Linked DNA regions of Danio rerio. The protein of the gene in region 1 interacts with the protein of each later gene in a biochemical or structural test. Links are inferred from orthologs where the notes say so. Each region holds a gene or a part of one and is shown on either strand. Other genes may lie near its edges.

Region 1 (3,838 bases):
CACCGTCACATGCTTCATCAGGAAATGCATAGAAGACTTGGTCCCAACAAAAACTGTCCGTATCTACCCCAACCAAAAACCATGGATCAGTGGCTAAGTTCAAACAGCCCTATTAGTGGGAACATCCGCCTATAAATTCAGAAATGCTGAGGAACAAAAACAAGCAAATTACAACCTCAGGAAAAACATCGAAGCAGCAAAACGTCAATACACAGACAAGGTAGAGTGTCAATTTAACACCAATAATGCAATGAGCATGTGGCAGGGACTTAATTGCATCACGTACTTTAAAAGTAACAATCCCGCCACTGTAAACATTGCTGCGTCTTTCCCTGACGAGCTCAACTCGTTCTACACCAACTTTGAAGCCCAGGTCAGCGCGCGCTCCTGCGACCAAAATCGCCAGCACACTCTCTGTTTCTGTAGCGGACATAAGGAGATCTTTCAGTCGCGTGAACATCCGGAAGCTCTTGGCCCAGATGGCATCCCTGGACGTGTACTTAAAGCATGCACACACCAGCTAGCGGGGGTTTTCACGGATATCTTAAATCTCTCGCTCTCTCGGTCTTTGGTTCCCCCATGCTTTAAGACAGCTACTGTTGTGCCCATACCGAAATCAGCTAAAAACAACAAGCTTGAATGACTGGCGTCCAGTTGCTTTGACACCCATCTTCAGCAAGTGCTTTGAGAAGCTGATTAAAAAGCACATCTGCTCTGTACTGCCTGCTCACTCTGACCCTCTGCAATTTGCATACAGGTATAATCTCTCAACTGATGATGCAATTGCTTTCACTTTGCACACTGCTCTTTCTTACCTGGAAAACAAAAACACATATGTGGAATGCTGTTTGTGGACTACAGCTCAGCATTCAACACCATTCAACACCTGCCAATCTGGTGGTGAAGGTCCAGGATCTAGGTCTACACAGCTGTCTTTGCAATTGGATCCTGGACTTCCTGTCAAGCAGACGCTAGAATGAACAACATTACATCATCCACCTTAATCTTCAACACTGGTGCTCCACAAGGCTGTGTTCTCAGCCCACTCCTATACTCCCTTTACACACATGACTGTACAGCCAAACACAGCTCCAACGTCATCGTTAAATGTGCTAATGACACAACGGTGGTCCTAATCACCGATAATGTGACAAACTACAGAGAGGAGGTGCACACTCTGACACAGTGGTGTTAGGAAAACTCACTCAACATCAGCAAAACCTAGAAGCTGGTGGTGGATTTCAGGAGAGAGAAGAGAGAACACCCCCCCCATCACCATCAACGGGAAACCAGTGGAGATAGTCAGCCCTTTCAAGTTTCTCGGAGTACACATCGCTGAGGATTTGACATGGACTGCTCAAACAGACGCTATTCTGAGGAAGGCACAACAACGCCTCTTCTTCCTCAGGTGGTTCAGGAGGTTTGGAATGAGCCCCCACATCCTCCGCTCGTTCTACACCTGCACGGGGAGAGCATCCTGTCTGGCTGTATCACCACCTGGTATGGAAATAGCACCAGCAGCAATCGCAAAGCCCTACATAGGATTGTGCGAACTGCTGGACGCGTAGTAGGAGGCGAGCTTCCCTCCTCCAGGACATCTTCACCAGGTGTTGCATGAGGAAAGCCAAGAGAATTATCAGCGACTCCAGCCACCTAAGCCATACACTTTTTTTCTCTGCTACCCTCAAGCAGACGGTTCCGCAGCATCCGGTCACGCACTAGCCGGCTGAAGGAAAGTTTCTTCTTTCAGGCTGATGAACACTTAAGACAGCCCACACAGACTTTTCCATACCCCTTACTGCACACCATCAATATGTAGTTTGCACTGCACTTTAACTAATCCATACTTGAAACAATACTGAATACAACTATGTGAACACCTATTCATTGTACATATCGGTATAACAAATTAATTTATTAATTTTTTTTTTTTTTTTTGAGGAGCATGCTGTTGAATTTAGCACTTTTGTGTATTTGCACTGTCTGTCTTTTGCACTGTAATTTTTTTTTGCACTGTCTGTTAATTGCACTATCGTTGAATTTGCACTGTATTGTGTACTGTCTGGGGCCAGCACCTTTTCACTCATCATAGCACACGTGCTGCTGATGATGTGACAATAAAAGTGATTTGATTTAATGCAAAACCTTGCATAACAAATCTGGTAGTTTCACATAAACTGAGTATTTCCAGGTGGTCTCTTATTTCTTACCATAGCTGTATATAAATCACAATCTAATTGCTTGTCTTATAAATTATTGGCATGTGACTACTTTTTTTTATAAAAATGGCACAAGCTATGTTTGAGTTGGCCATAGTTCATTGTTTCACTCTGTCATTATATTAAAGTCATCATGATACAGAAGTTAAGATGGTCCTTTTTTTCCCTTTTTACGAAAGGGTACCAAAAGGTGTTATGATCTGTGTGTTAGTCTAGCTGTAGAAATGCATCCTGTATTGTGCTAAACTGTACCGCTCTTGAAAATGGGTAATAACATTCTGACCTTGTCTTAGGATCATTAAAATGTGGGATTTGCGGAGGAACTATACTGCATACCACCAGAACCCCCTGCCTCTACAGGCCTATCCTTACCCAGGGTCCTGCACGCGCAAACTAGGTACACATCTCATAGCCCACTGTTACTAATGAGAATTCATATTATCAAATAAAAATCTTATATTGTTTTATTTATTTAATTAATATTTTTTTTTATTTATTGGAACTCTTATCTTTTTATTGTTTTTTTATTATAGAAAAGTGATTTCTATAAAATGTCATAAATTGTATCTATTTTTTGCTATGACATAGCCAGAGAAGCTGAGATGGCAATAATCTCTCTCTGTAGTATTATTGCTAATTTTCCTTTTCATGATCCTGTTTTTCTTCTGCAGGTTATTCTGGTCTTTCACTGGACTACACTGGATCTAGACTCTTCTCTAACTGCACAGATGACAATATCTACATGTTTAATATCAGTGGGCTGAAAACCACTCCAGGTACATATGAATTGTAATAAGTGTTCAGTTTGTTTGTTTTTAAGTGTAAATTGTTATTTTTTATTTTTTTAACTAATCAGTTTTTATCTGGAGTGTGGGATAGTGTTATGATGATATCATAGTTGTTTTAATGATGTGTGAGCAAACATAGAATTTCTCAAAGTCTAAAGAGTACAATATAAAAGCACTAATTTCAGCAGGTCGGAATTGATTTCTTTTTTCAAAATATGATAACTTTAATTTATTATGCACTTAAGACTGTTTTTTTTTTTTTTTTTTTTACTTCTATTGTTTCGTTGGTATAAAAAATCCCCAAAATAATTGAATTATGTAGGTGAAGCATGTTTCTGAACTAATTCTCTTTTTCACAGTCGCTGTGTTCAGTGGTCACAGTAACTCCTCATTTTACGTGAAGTCCACTGTGAGTCCAGATGACCAGTTCCTGGCTAGTGGATCCAGTGATCATAACGTTTACATATGGAAGGTCAGGAGTTCTCCATGCACTCACCCGCAAAATTCCCTCATTCTCAAATATATTTCTCAAAAATATATATATACATTTTCAAGAAGAGCTATTCAAATGATTCATTTGATTTTGTTACAAAGTAAGCTCCCCATCCCTCCAGTAACATACAGCCCCAGATCTAGATGTAAAAGTAGAAGATCAGAAGTTATGTAGCAACGGTGACACATGATTTTGTTTACTTTTGATCCAGATTTCAGATCCAAAACAAGCTCCCATGATGCTTCAGGGCCACAGCCAAGAGGTCACATCCGTGGCCTGGTGTCCTACCGATTTCACCAAGGCTAGTATCTGTAATTGCGGCAAACAAATAAATACTG
Region 2 (2,608 bases), on another chromosome or scaffold:
GAAAAAAATAACCATAATAAATCATTAATCACATTGAGCCAAATTAGATGTGACATTCCATTACCATGGAATAAAACCATTTTAACCAAGGCAAAACCAAAACTAAATATGAACATTCAGCCTATTTTAATTGTCATTATTTGTTCTGTTCTGAATACTGTGAAATTTAAAAGATTCATTGTGGAGCCTATTTTCCTGAATAAAACTACAAATCGCAACAAATCTAAATATTAACTATGCAATTTAGAGCAGATGTAACTTTTTTTCTGAAAAATACTGTATAATTATTATTAACTGTATTGAAATTGTTACCTGGCTTGCACCCGGTGTGCCAAGCAGTTGTGTGCCCAGCAGCATGTGGTCAGGACAGGTCGGTTGTGAAAAGCTGACACTGACATCGGTGTGAACTGTAACCTCCTTCTCCTCCCATAATCCCTGTGGCTCAGGCTGAGAGCTTGAGATCTGCGCTCGGTCATCACTGAGGAAACACACAGGTAGTGATTATGTGCCCCTTATAGCAGAAAATAGCTCATGAGTTTTGCTCAATACTAAACAGTCATTAAGGCAACATACAGTGCATCCGGAAAGTATTTATAGTGCTTTAATTTTTCATGTTACAGCCTTATTCCAAAATGGATTAAATTCATGTATTTCTTTAAAATTCTACACACAATATCCCATAATGACAATGTGAAAAAGATTTTTTGAAATTGTTGCAAATTTATTAAAAATAAAAAAGCTGAAAAACCCTGTTCATAAGTATTCACAGCCTTTGCTTAATACTTTGTTGATGCACTTTTGGCAGCAATTACAGCCTCATGTCTTTTTGAATATGATGCCACAAGTTTGGCACACCTGTCCTTATCTATTTTGGAAAAAGACTGTAACATAAAAAAATTTGGAAAAAGTAAAGCGCTGTGAATTCTTTCTGGATGCACTGTATGTATTTATCATACTGACCTGTTTTTTCGTCTTAGCTCAGAGTCAGCCCGTTGAATCTTGGCTGCTGGTGTGATGCCCTGACGTTGTACTGCTGTGGTCAAAAATTCAGACGCAAAACAGTCACAAACACAAACACTCTTAAAGCACTTGCAGAGCTACTGAGCTGATGTTTGAAACAGTACCTGATTTGAAACTTCTGCTAAACCAGCGGTGTTTCTTAATTTCAGGAATGGTGAACCTGTCTTCTGGATTGTGCAGTAATATCTTAGACAACAGACCTGATCAAAAACAAACAAAACTTCTTAACATCAGAGGTGTTCTGAATGTTTGTATGCAGTAGTTTTGAGTGGCTGCCTTCCGGCCAAAGTGAAATCTATAATAAATATTTAAATATTGTCAAATTTAGCAAGTCGAAGATACTTACTAAGGGGTACCGCATCAATTTTCTTCCAGGGCGTAAGGTAGGTCTTTCTTTCCAGCCAGTCCAAATACTCCTGACAGTTTTCACTCGGCTGATCCCAGGGTAACTCTGTTGAGAAATTCAACACAATACGATGCAATAAAATGTTAAAGATACAATCTTGGGCCTTTTTTAAACTTCTGGTTATAATATTTTCATAAAAAAATAAATAAATATAAAATCAATAGAGTCTTACCTCCAGCTAACATTGCAGTGAGCACAATGCCACAAGCCCAAGTGTCCGCAGGCTGAGCGTTAAAAGATGAGCGTGACATCAACTCTGGGGCAACATAGGGCAGAGTACCACACAGACGGTTCAAAGCTCGCTCACGGCCACGGTGCCTGAACATGGTAGCCAGGCCAAAGTCAGAGATCTTCAGATTATCTGACAGAAAATACACAAAATGTATATATCAAAATTATATTTTGGTTTCCAAAGGTTTCATCAAGTCTAATTTAAGACTTTTTAAGACCATTATGAATAAAATTTCTGACTTGCACAAGGTTAAACGCTAAGGATTTTTTCTAATGGCCCAGTTAAAGCTTAAAAAAAACTGTAAAAACAAATGTTATATTAATAGGTATGGTAAATAGAGTTAATAAACTTTTGCTAGAACTTTTAATGAGATAGTGATGAAATGTTGGTAATTGCCTGGGTGTTGGTCCAATTGGGTAGCTTTACATGAACATAGGAAAGTTAAAACAAGTTTAAAATTATTTAAGACCCACAACACAATATTTCAGTGAATTTAAGACTTTTTAGGACTTTGAAATTGAAGAAATGCCTGTATACAGTCTACATATACAAGCCTGTATATTGTTAAACTAATAATTTATAGTGCACATCTTAGTAATGCTCGCTACACTTGATACTTAGAATCAATTGTTAAAATTAGTTTACTATGTAAACATGAACTAATACTGAAAACTTAAGCATTTATTCGTCTTAATTAAATGTTCTTTTCAACAATTACCAATACATTATTTTGTCTTTTAATGTTTTTTAACGCACCTGAGATAACAAGAATGAATATCTCATAAGTAAAGATAAAAAATACAGCGAAGAAAGTATTTGATTTTAAATGGACTATATAATTGGACTTTATTGTAGTGTTAGCAAAATATTTTATATGCATAATGTCCATCCACTACAACACAGATGTTTATTCTTGTAGATGTCACAGACCCCAAAATATGATCATGCCA

What was found.
Region 2: of the proteins of dtl (region 1) and chek1, one has a biochemical effect on the other in vitro, tested with the Homo sapiens proteins (2 studies listed by BioGRID). The link is inferred for Danio rerio from reciprocal best matches to the Homo sapiens genes DTL and CHEK1.

What each region holds. Positions count from the first base shown.
Region 1 is NC_133195.1:14,398,254-14,402,091, forward strand, and holds part of dtl (denticleless protein homolog), read left to right. Parts: intron 1-2,512; coding exon 2,513-2,616; intron 2,617-2,890; coding exon 2,891-2,995; intron 2,996-3,366; coding exon 3,367-3,479; intron 3,480-3,711; coding exon 3,712-3,801; intron 3,802-3,838. UniProt on the Homo sapiens protein: Substrate-specific adapter of a DCX (DDB1-CUL4-X-box) E3 ubiquitin-protein ligase complex required for cell cycle control, DNA damage response and translesion DNA synthesis.
Region 2 is NC_133196.1:24,021,711-24,024,318, reverse strand, and holds part of chek1 (serine/threonine-protein kinase Chk1), read right to left. Parts: intron 1,788-2,608; coding exon 1,599-1,787; intron 1,472-1,598; coding exon 1,367-1,471; intron 1,221-1,366; coding exon 1,125-1,220; intron 1,034-1,124; coding exon 961-1,033; intron 479-960; coding exon 313-478; intron 1-312. UniProt on the Homo sapiens protein: Serine/threonine-protein kinase which is required for checkpoint-mediated cell cycle arrest and activation of DNA repair in response to the presence of DNA damage or unreplicated DNA.